Anolis sagrei: one gene and its partners. The main gene of each other region encodes a partner of the protein of the gene in region 3 in a complex. Links are inferred from orthologs where the notes say so. Each region holds a gene or a part of one and is shown on either strand. Other genes may lie near its edges. The genes, in order: CPSF6, CPSF7 and NUDT21.

The links.
Region 1: the proteins of NUDT21 (region 3) and CPSF6 are in contact, whole or in part, in a crystal structure (PDB 3P5T), measured with the Homo sapiens proteins. The link is inferred for Anolis sagrei from reciprocal best matches to the Homo sapiens genes NUDT21 and CPSF6. Residues at the interface, in NP_008937.1 of Homo sapiens: Pro151, Asn152, Glu154, Pro156, Tyr158, Tyr160, Pro162, Ala163, His164, Ile165, Thr166, Lys167; in NP_008938.2 of Homo sapiens: Trp90, Trp91, Thr92, Thr93, Asp94, Glu95, Lys113, Phe114, Glu116, Asn117, Arg118, Ala119, Asn120, Gly121, Gln122, Ser123.
Region 2: the proteins of NUDT21 (region 3) and CPSF7 are in contact, whole or in part, in a crystal structure (PDB 3N9U), measured with the Homo sapiens proteins. The link is inferred for Anolis sagrei from reciprocal best matches to the Homo sapiens genes NUDT21 and CPSF7. Residues at the interface, in NP_008937.1 of Homo sapiens: Arg68, Asn152, Glu154, Pro156, Tyr158, Tyr160, Pro162, Ala163, His164, Ile165, Thr166, Lys167; in NP_001129512.1 of Homo sapiens: Trp91, Trp92, Thr93, Thr94, Asp95, Gln96, Glu112, Lys114, Phe115, Glu117, Asn118, Arg119, Ala120, Asn121, Gly122, Gln123, Ser124.

What each region holds. Positions count from the first base shown.
Region 1 is NC_090025.1:143,242,208-143,245,959, forward strand, and holds the start of CPSF6 (cleavage and polyadenylation specificity factor subunit 6), read left to right. Parts: upstream 1-850; 5' UTR 851-904; coding exon 905-964; intron 965-3,752. UniProt on the Homo sapiens protein: Component of the cleavage factor Im (CFIm) complex that functions as an activator of the pre-mRNA 3'-end cleavage and polyadenylation processing required for the maturation of pre-mRNA into functional mRNAs.
Region 2 is NC_090021.1:236,185,057-236,188,808, forward strand, and holds the start of CPSF7 (cleavage and polyadenylation specificity factor subunit 7), read right to left. Parts: upstream 2,258-3,752; 5' UTR 2,180-2,257; intron 2,171-2,179; exon of another isoform or gene 2,052-2,170; intron 454-2,051; 5' UTR 407-453; coding exon 353-406; intron 1-352. Other genes in the region: SDHAF2 (succinate dehydrogenase assembly factor 2, mitochondrial), read left to right, coding at 2,379-2,399.
Region 3 is NC_090028.1:6,633,752-6,637,503, forward strand, and holds the start of NUDT21 (cleavage and polyadenylation specificity factor subunit 5), read left to right. Parts: upstream 1-819; 5' UTR 820-925; coding exon 926-1,041; intron 1,042-3,752. UniProt on the Homo sapiens protein: Component of the cleavage factor Im (CFIm) complex that functions as an activator of the pre-mRNA 3'-end cleavage and polyadenylation processing required for the maturation of pre-mRNA into functional mRNAs.

The DNA of each region.
Region 1 (3,752 bases), on a different chromosome or scaffold from region 3:
CCAATGGCTGATACCAAATGAGAGACTCCCCTCTGGGCACACAGAAAACTGGGCGACTTGGAAGGCATTGAACAGACTGCGCTCTGGCACTACAAGATGCAGAGCCAACCTCAAGAAATGGGGCCACAAAGTGGAATCCATGACATGCGAGTGCGCAGAAGAGCAAACCACAAACTACCTACTGCAATGCAACCTGAGCCCTGCCACATGCACAATGGAGGACCTTCTTGCAGCAACACCAGAGGAACCCCAAGTGCTCAAAGGACATTTAATCAACTACCAAACTTGCAAATTATGTGTTTTGTCTGTTTGTTTTGTTCTGTTAGAAATGTAATACAATTGACTGGTTGCCCTGACACGACAAATAAATAAACTCTGGCCCAGAGCGGCCACAGGCCTTTAGCTTCCTCTGTCAAAGGCGGCTGGAGCCTTGTCAAAGACAACCCCTAGGTTTCCATCCGTACCATTGAGGCATAGCAGTTACAAGGGTTATCAAACGCCATTCAATCTGCAGTGCACTGAGAGAGAGGGGCGGGTTAGAACCAAAGGCCACCAATGGCGCCCTTTCCTTCCTAACTGCGCGCGCGCTTCCCAACGGAGGGGGGAGGAGGGGGGAGAGATTTGCCTCAAGGGGCGTGGCTACACGCGGGGTTCGATTCAGAGCGAGCTGCGCGAGGGAAAGAAGGAGGGGGCACATAAAGAGCGGAGTACTCCAAGGCCTGCCTTAGCGGAAGCTGCTGTGTTCGCTCCCGGAAGTGACGCGGAGCCCCTCCAAGCGCCCCCCTCCCTCTCGCTCGCTTGCGGCAGCTGTGGTGTCGGGCGAGCGGGCGGGTCTGGCGGCTGCAGGAGCGGCGGCGCAGGGCGGGCGGGGGGAAGGAGGAGGAGGAGGAGGTGGCGGCGGAATATGGCGGACGGCGTGGACCACATAGATATCTACGCCGACGTAGGAGAGGAGTTTAACCAGGTAAGGCGGCTTGGGGCGCTGCTAGGCCGCGCGGGCTCAGGCGGAGCGGAGGCCTCTTTGCCGCCATTGGGCGCCATTCCTGCCGCTGCCTGTGAAGAGGGCCTGAGGGGGAGAGCGCGCGGGAGGGGGCGCGGCCTAGCGTGGAGGGAGGGAGGGAGGCCCTGCGCGGCCTGCCAGGAACAACAATGGGGCCCGGCGCGGCTCGCTCGCTTTCTCTCGGCCCCCTTTCTCTCCTCCTTTGTCGTCGAATCCACTGCCTTGCCTGGCTTGTTGTGGCCCGCTCCCCCGGGGCAAAGGCAGGCAGCAACACAACACCTCTCTCTCTCCAAACGAGGCCTCTCCAGAGGATGGAGGAGCGTTTCTCGGGGCCCCGCCGGGAGTGTGTGAAACGGCTTCCCGTAAAAGGTGGCTGTTTAGGGCAGGGCTGCTTCAATTTTACCCATGCACGACCCCTTTTCTCCCGAGAAATTAAATACGTGACCAAGGTACATAAATAATAAAATCTATAAAAATAAAAATGTAATGTTCGTTCGTAACTCAAAAACCACAGGACGGATTGACACCAAATTTGTACACAATATACTTATCAGGCCAACGAGTGATCATCACCGATAAAACACAGCAAGCTAGACTTAAAAACAAAAAATACATTTCAAGGCATGCACAAAACCACACACACACACATATATACACACACAACACACATAAACACAGACTGGGCCACAGCAACGCGTGGCGGGGATGGCTAGTCTATATAAATAAAAATGTAATGTTCGTTTGTGGGATTGACATAACTCAAAAACCACAGGACAGATTGACACCAAATTTGGACACAATATACTTATCAGGCCAACGAGTGATCATCACCGATAAAACACAGCAAGCTAGACTTAAAAACAAAAAATACATTACAAGGCATGCGCAAAACTAAACACACATATATGCAAGCAGACATATACAAATATGCGCATACATATAAACATATATACACACACAACACACGTAAACACAGACTGGGCCACAGCAACGCGTGGCAGGGGGTGGCTAGTCTATATAAATAAAAATGTAATGTTCATTTGTGGGATTAACAGAACTCAAAAACCACTGGACGAATTGACACCAGATTTGGACACAATACACCTATGAGGCCAACGAGTGACCATTACTCTTAAAACCATTGAGAAACATAGCAGATAAGACTGTAAAAGCCAAAAAAACCCAAAAAATACATTACAGCGCATGCGGAAAACCACGTAGAATCATAGAGTTGGAAGAGATCTCATGGGCCTTCCAGTCCAACCTCCTGCCAAGAAGCAGGAATATTGCATTCAAAGCACCCCTGACAGATGGCCATCTAGCCTCTGTTTATATACACACACATATGCATATATATACACACAAAACACGTACACAGAAAGGAGGAAGGAACGAAGGAAAGAAAGAAAGGTAGAGAAGGAATGAAGGAGAGAAGGAAATAAAAAAGTGAAAGAAGGAAGGAAAGAGAGGGAAGAAAGGACAGAAGGAAGGAACCAGACAAGGAAGGATGGAACCAAAGAGCAAAGGCCGTGAGGAAAGAAACAGGTAGAGAAGGAAGAAAGAAGAAGGGAAGGAGAGAAAGAGGGAGGGAAGATTGGCCACAGCAACATGTAGCGGATACAGCTAGTAAGTATTAAAAATCAAAGATTTTACAGATAAAATCAGCATTCTCAAGGCATGCTAAACGGGCTGATGTTCCTGTTTAGGAAGTACAGCAGAAGCATTTTCTGTAAACATGGCTCGTTATTGCTAACATTTAAGTAAATAAATGGCATTTACACAATATTTTACTGTTGCCTCTTTTTTGTGACTCCAACATTGAGCTAAATCTGTGGTTTTGAATTATGACAATTGTAATGTTGTCTTATGGAGATAACTACCAGCCAATATCCTAGTAATTGTTAAGTGAACACTTACTACAGTAGAGTCTCGCTTATCCAACATAAACAGGCCGGCAGAACGTTGGATAAGCAGAGATATTGGATAATAAGCAGGGATGAAGGAAAAACCTATTAAATGTCAAATTACATTACAATTTTACAAGCACCAAAAAAAATGTTTTTCCAAAAATCAACAGAAAAAGCAGTTCAGTACACAGTAATGTTATGTCATAATTACTGTATTTATGAATTTAGCACCAAAACAGACAAGGATTCTTTATTTCTCCCACCCTGGATATTATTCCGGGCGGGAGGCAGACTGCATTGGATAATACAAAATGTTGGATGAGCAAAGGTTGGATAACCGAGGCATTACTGTATTTCCCTCTTAAAGTAGAGGTAAAGGTTTCCCCTGACATTAGGTCTAGTCCTGTCCCACTCGGGGGGGGGGGGTGGTGGTGGTGGTGGTGGTGCTGCTGCTGCTCATCTCCATTTCTAAGCCAGAGCCAGTGTTGTCTGTAGACATCTCCTAGGTCATGTGGCCAGCAAGACTACATGGAGCACTGTTACCTTTCCGCAGAAGCAGTACCTATTGCTCTATTCACATTGGCATGTTTTCAAATTGCTAGGTAGGCAGAAGCTGGGGCTAATAGCGGGATCTCACCCCACTCTGGATTTGAACGGCCAACTTTCAGTCAGCAAGTTCAGCAGCTCAGCGGTTTAACCCACTGCTCCACCAGGTGGTTGTTGTTGTTCATTCATTCAGTCATTTCTGACTCTTTTTGTGACCTCATGGACCAGCCCACGCCAGAGCTCCCTGTCGGCCATCACCACCCCCATCTCCTTCAAGGTCAATCCAGTCACTTCTAGGA
Region 2 (3,752 bases), on a different chromosome or scaffold from region 3:
CTATTTTTATGCTCTTAGGCAAATGTAGCCAATCTTGGGGCGAATCTACAAATATCATTTAATGCAGTTTCAAATTTGTATTGAGAAACGTGGTTAAATAGGAACTCATGAAACCAGTTTGAGGTCCAAATGGCAATTAGCACAGATGAACATTAAGGGCTTTCTTTCATGAAGTTTTGTGGGTTTTTGTTGTCTGATCACTAAAGTTTGAAGGTAGCTTTGAACTGCATTAAATGATTATTGTAGACAAGTCCTCAGTATTGTTTGAAATTTCAGTTGATTCTGAATATGGCAAATTTTCCTTCTTTCTTTCCTTCCTTCTCTCCCTCGCTCCCATTTGGCAGGGGCTCACCTGGTTGAACTCCTCGTCGGCGTAGATATCTATGAGGTCCACTCCTTCCGACATATTTTCAGGAGCGCCTCTGAGGAGAACAGGGGAGGCAGAGCTGCACACTGTGCAGGGGAGAAGAGGAGGAGAGTTAGTGCTCAAAAGGCCAACACAATTCTAGGCAGCATCAATAGGATCATCGTATCTAGATCAGTGGTTCTCAACCTGTTGGACCGCAAATGTTTTGGTCTTCAACTCCCAGAAATCTGAAGAGTTTGTAAACTGGCTGGGTTTTCTGGGAGTTGTAGAGCAAACCATCTGGGAACCCACAGGTTGAGAACCACAGCTGGAGATCGAGGACTAAGAGGAACACACATCACCACCTCTACCAAATGCATAGTCCCACTCTATTTATTTATTTCCAGTATTTCTACCTCGTTCCTTCTCAACCCCTGAAGGGGGGCTCAGGACGGCTTACATTTGGCAGCAATTCGATGCCACTACATATAACAAAGCAATATAATAACAATTAAAAACAATAAATAGAACATTCATAAAAACAATAAAAACAGTATTAACAGCCATATAGTCATTCCAGTCAAATTCCATATTAAACTGCTATCTATGTCTGTTGTCCAAAAGCCTGGTCCCAGAACCACAACCCTGAAAGACAGGAGGGATGAAACTTCGGTGGGAAGTGAGTTCCACAGGTGGGGGGCCACAGCCGAGAAGGCCCTGTCTCTTGTCCCTGCCGTATTTGCCATGCTGGCAGGGGCAAGAGCAGGTCCTCCCTGGATGATCTTAAACTGTGAGGCGGGATGTAGAGGGAGATGCGTTCGGACAAGTAAGCTGGGCCAGAACCTATTCTGCTTTGGTCAGATCTCGCCTGGAATGATGTCTCCAATTCTGGGCATCACAATTCAAGGAAGATACCAAGATGCTAAAATGCATCCAGAGAAGGGAAACTAAAATGATCAATAGGTTGCTGTAAGTTTTTCGGGATGTATGGTCATGTTCAATGATCAATGGTTTGGAAGCCAAGACCAATGAGGAGCAGCCGAAGGAATTGGGTATCTTTAGCTTGGAGAAAAGAAGGTTGAGAGGAGACAAATAGTCATGTTCAAATATTTGAATGGATGTCACACTGAGGAGGAACCAAGTTTGTTTTCTGCTGCCCTGGAGACCAGGACGCAAGGGAGCAATGGACTCAACTTGCGGGGAAATTAACTCCACCTAAACATTATGAACAACTTCCTGACGGTAAAAGTGGAATACGCTGCCGCCGCAGGGTGTGGTGGAGGCATATGTAGAGGCTGGGTGGCTATCTGTTGGGGGTGCTTTAATTGTGTGGCAGGAGGAGGCTGGATTGGATGGCCCTTGGGTCTCATGAAGTTCCCCGGCCACCGTCGGACAACGATTCCGGGAGGAAGGCGGGCCCGGGAGGCTGAGGGCCCAGCGCCGGCCCCGCCCCCTCCGCTCAGCCGCGCGGCCCGGAGGGGAAGGAAGCGGGGGCGCGGGAAGGGAATGGAGGGGCGAAGAGGCCGAGCAGGCCCCCTTCCTCCTCCTCCTCCTCCCGCCGCTACTCCCACTTGCAAGCCGCCGCCGCCGAGGCCGCCATAGCTGCGCGCGCACTCCCGCTCCCTCCAGTCATGGCCTCCTTTTTTTCCCGCGCTCCCAGGGAAACCTCCCACCGCCGCCGCCTCCGACCCCTCGGAGCCGGCACCTCATCCCCTCCCGCGCGGCCGCCTCCTGCGCCTCCTCCTCCTTCACCGCCGCCGCCGCCGCCGCGCCCGTTACGCAAGGCCCAGGATCCCCAGCAGGCCCGAGACGCAAGCGGCCGTGTGCGCGAACCTCACTCTGGCTCCCTCTCTCCGTGAGCGCCTCCTGCTGCCGCCGCCGCCCCGCCCCTTCCGCCCTCCCTTCCTTCCAGGAAGGCCCGCCTCTTCCGGCCCGGCGCGCGCAACCCCATCACCACTGTCGGCTTTCCGGCTGCGCTCGCCTCTCTTTATGCTCAAGAGGGAGGGCTAGAGCGGCCGGGGAAGGCGCCAAGATGGCGGCGCTGTCAGTTCGGGTGAGTAAGCTGGACCAAGCCCGGTGTTTTATTGTTTGATTGCTCATGGATGTATTTTTTTTAATTTGATTAATGTCTAATCTATATATATATAAATGCTCTGTGCATAATGAGTTCCTTAAAAACAAAAGAACCAATGAACGAAATCACACCAAATTTGGCAACAAAACGTCTCACAACACAAGGAGTGACCATCACTCAAAAATTTATGATTTTGTCATTTGGGAGTTGGAGTTGCTGGGATTTATAGTTTACTTACAATCTCCACCAATGATGGAATTGAACCAAACGTGGCACACAGGTCTCCCATGACCAGCACAAAACACCAGAAGGATTTGGTGGCCATTGACATTTCGTTCATTGGTTTTTTGTTTTTTTGAGTTTGGAAGTTGTAGTTCACCTACATCCAGAGAGCACTGTGGACTCAAACAATGATGGATCTGGACCAAACTTGGCACAAATATTCCATATGCCCAGACATGAACACAGATGGAGTTTGGGGAAAATAGACCTTGACATTTGTGAGTTGTAGTTTATACTTCCCCTACAATCAAAGAGCATCCTGAACCCCACCAACGACAGAATTGGGGCAAACTTCCCACACAGAACCCCCAAGACCAACAGAAAATACTTAAGGCCATCCAATCCAACTCCCTTCATCAGGGCAAGAAAACATAATCAAAGTCCTCCTGACAAAGAGCCATCCAGCCATAGATATAGATAAATATATATGATTCACACACACACACACACACACACACACAGATATAGTATCATAGATTTGAAAGGGACCCCTAAAGAAGGACAGTGATATGTTGCATGTTCCAGAGTAGGCAAACCAGACAATCTCCACATCAACACTGGCAAAGAAACAACAAAAAATACTGTTTACCCACAAGCAGAAATAAATTACATATATTGGAAACCAACACTTTCTCATTACTTTATTTTCCAGATCAACAGACTAGGCCACAGCAACGCGTGGCAGGGGACAGCTAGTTGTAGTATATCATTGTAATTGTTTGTACTGACATTGAATTTTTGCCATTACTTATGCGTAAACCGCTTTGAGTCCCTGTCAGGGTGAGAAAAGCGGTATACAAATACTGTAAATAAACAAATAAATAATTGTATTGTCGAAGGCTTTCATGGCTGGAATCACTGGATTGTTGTAGGATTTTCGGGCTATGTGGCCATGTTCTAGAGGCATTCTCTCCTGACCTTTCACCTGCATCTATGGCAAGCATCCCCACTACCTCTGAGGATGCTTGCCATAGATGCAGGCGAAACGTCAGGAGAGAATGCCTCTAGAACATGGCCATATAGCCCGAAAAAACCTACAACAACCCAAAT
Region 3 (3,752 bases):
TATAGCAACCAATGGGAATTAAGTACCGATTCCAGACAGCCTATAGGAATGGAGTACAGCCCGCCTCGCGCGTTTTCATTGGCTGCGCCGCGGTAACAGGCAATAGGAATGAGAGGTTGCCAAAAGGAGAGATACCGGCGCTATAGCAACCAATGGGAATTAAGTACCGATTCCTGACAGCCAATAGGAATAGATTACAGCCCGCCTCATGCGTTTTCATTGGCTCCGCCGCGGTAACAGGCAATAGGAATGAAAAGTTGCCAAAAGGAGAGATGGCGGCGCTATAGCAACCAATGAGAATTAAGTACTGATTCCTGACAGCCAATAGGAATAGAGTACAGCCCGCCTCGCGCGTTTTCATTGGCTGTGCCGCGGGAGGCAGTACCGATTCTTGACTGCCAATAGGAGTAGCGTACAGCCCGCCTCACGTGTTTTCATTGGCTGCGCCGCGGTAACAGGCAATAGGAATGAAAGGTTGCTAAAAGGAGAGATGCCGGCGCTATAGCAACCAATGGGAACTAAGTATCGATTCCTGACGGCCAATAGGAATGGAGTACAGCCCGCCTTGCGCGTTTTCATTGGCTGTGCCGCGGGAGACTGTATCAATCCTTGACAGCCAATAGGAGTAGAGCTCAGCCCGCCTCGCGCGTTCCGATTGGCTGCGCGTCCATGAGAGGGTAAAGGTTGGTGCTTATCGACTCAAAGGAGTCCGTAGTATTGATTCCTGACAGCCAATAGGAAGAGAGCTCAGCCCGCCGCACGCGCTCTGATTGGCTGCGTGGCGCGCGCGAGTGTAAAGGAAAGCGGGAATGGCCTCTTCGCCGGAAGTGCGGCCTAGTCTTCCGGCGCGGCCTTTGGCGGGGTGGCTAAGGCTTGGTGGGGGATGCCGGTGTCTTCCTGAGCCTCCGCCGCGTGGGCCTCCATTATGTCCGTCGTGCCGCCCAACCGCTCCCAGACCGGCTGGCCCCGAGGGGTGAACCAGTTCGGGAACAAGTACATCCAGCAGAGCAAGCCCCTCACCCTCGAGAGGACCATCAACCTGTGAGTCGGGCCTTCAATCCGACGGGGTGGGTGGGGAAGAGGGCCTAGGCTGGGACAGCTCATTGCATAATGCTACTGCTGGAAACACACACACACACACATATATGTATATGCACACACACACGTTGATATATGTCTATCTATACACACATACACAAATGCACATATTAACCCACACTCACAAATATATCTACATAAGGTTGTTGTAGGTTTTTTCGGGCTATATGGCCATGTTCTAGAGGCATTTTCTCCTGACGTTTCGCCCCCATCTATGGCAAGCATCCTCAGAGGTAGTGAGGTCTGTTGGAAATAGGAAAATGGGTTTATATATCTGTGGAATGACCAGGGTGGGACAAAGGACTCTTGTCTGCTGGAGCGAGGTGTGAATGTTTCAACTGACCACCTTGATTAGCATTCAATGGCCTAGAAGCGCCTGGGGGGAATCTTTTGTTTAGAGTGATTTCATGTGCCTGTTTGTTTCCCCTCTGCCTGAACATCAAGCAAAAAGTGGGCACTAGAAACAACATCATACGAAAGCTGACTGGCACAACCTGGGGATCACAACCAGACACAGTGAAGACATCTGCCCTTGCGCTATGATGCCCAGTGTGGAACACATCTCACCACGCTAAAACAGTAGATGTGGCTCTTAATGAGACATGCCGCATTATCACGGGGTGTCTGTGCCCTACACCACTGGAGAAATTACACTGCTTAGCCGGTATTGCACCACCTGACGTCTGCCGGGAAGTAGCAGCCAATAGTGAAAGGACCAAGGCGGAGACATCTCCAGCTCATCCCCTGTTTGGTTATCAGCCAGCACGCCAATGACTTAAATCTAGACATAGTTTTCTAAGATCTACAGAGACACTCGCTGGAACACCTCAGCAAGCGAGAGCCCAAAAGTGGCAGGCCCAAACCCAGCACCTCAACCAATGGCTGATACCCAATGAAAGACTCCCCCCTGGGCACACAGAAGACTGGGCAACTTGGAAGGCACTGAACAGACTGCGCTCTGGCACCACGAGATGCAGAGCCAACCTTCAGAAATGGGGCTACAAAGTGGAATCCTTGGCATGCGAGTGTGGAGAAAAGCAAACCACTGACCACCTGCTGCAATGCAACCTGAGCCCTGCCACATGCACAATGGAGGACCTTCTTGCAGCAACACTGGAAGCACTCCAAGTGGCCAGATACTGGTCAAAGGACATTTAACCAACTACCAAACTCACAAGATGTGTATTTTTCTGTCTGTTTGCTTTGTTCTGTTAGAAATGTAATATATAATGGACTGGTTGCTCTGACACGACAAATAAAAACCCCTGACAGATGGCCATCCAGCCTCTGCTTAAAAGCTTCCAAAAAAGGAGCCTCCACCACACTCCGGGGCAGAGAGTTCCACTGCTGAATGGCTCTCACAGTCAGGAAGTTCCTCCTCATGTTCAGATAGAATCTCCTCTCTTGTAGTTTGAAGCCATTGCTCCATTGCGTCCTAGTCTCCAGGGAAGCAGAAAACAAGCTTGCTCCCTCCTCCCTGTGGCTTCCTCTCACATATTTATACATGGCTATCATGTCTCTTCTCAGCCTTCTCTTCTTCAGGCTAAACATGCCCAGCTCTTTAAGCCGCTCCTCATAGGGCTTGTTCTCATAGGGCTTGTATATGCCTAGCTGTCTATTTATATGAGTCCCCTTCGGGGTGAGAAGGGTTGCTACCCCTCCATCTTTAATATTTAATGCTAATATTGTACTATGCTGATAATATAATATATTGTATGTATATATATCTTGTAAGCTGCTCTGAGTCCTCTTCGGGGAGAGAAGGGCGGCATAGAAATGTCGTAAATAAATAAATATACAATCATACATATATGCATATATTAAAATCCTCACCCACAAATATATATACATATATAGAGACATATATACATATGCATGAATCTGTATACGCATATACAAAACATATACAAACATATATATCTGCATACACATATACATATGAATATGCACATATATACACACACACACATATAGACATATGTGTACTTTTGCATATATATACAAAAACACAAATATGCCCACATACATATATGCGCATACACACATATAGAGACATAGAGATTTATGGAGACATGCATGCACCTGAGTTGGAAGAGACCTCATGGGCGGCATAGAAATGTCGTAAATAAATAAATATACAATTATACATATATGCATATATTAAAATCCCCACCCACAAATATACCTACATATATAGAGACATATATATATACACACACACACACACACACACATTCCATGTGCTGGGAATTATAGTTCGCCTACAATCAAAGGAGCCCCCGGTGGCGCAGTGGGTTAAAGCACTGAGGTGCTGAGCTTGTTGACCAAAAAGGTCGCAGGTTCAATTCCAGGGAGCGGCGTGAGCTTCCGCTATCAGCCCTAGATTCTGCCAACCTAGCAGTTTGAAAACATGCAAATGTGAGTAGATCAATAGGTACCGCTCCAGCGGGAAGGTAACGGCGCTCCATGCGGTCATGCTGGCCACATGACCTTTCAGGTGTCTATGGACAACGCTGGCTCTTCAGCTTAGAAATGGAGAGGAGCACCACACCCCAGAGTCAGACATGACTGGACTTAATGTCAGGGGATTACCTTTACCTTTACTTATACATACATATATATCTGCATACACATATGCATATACATGTGTCTAT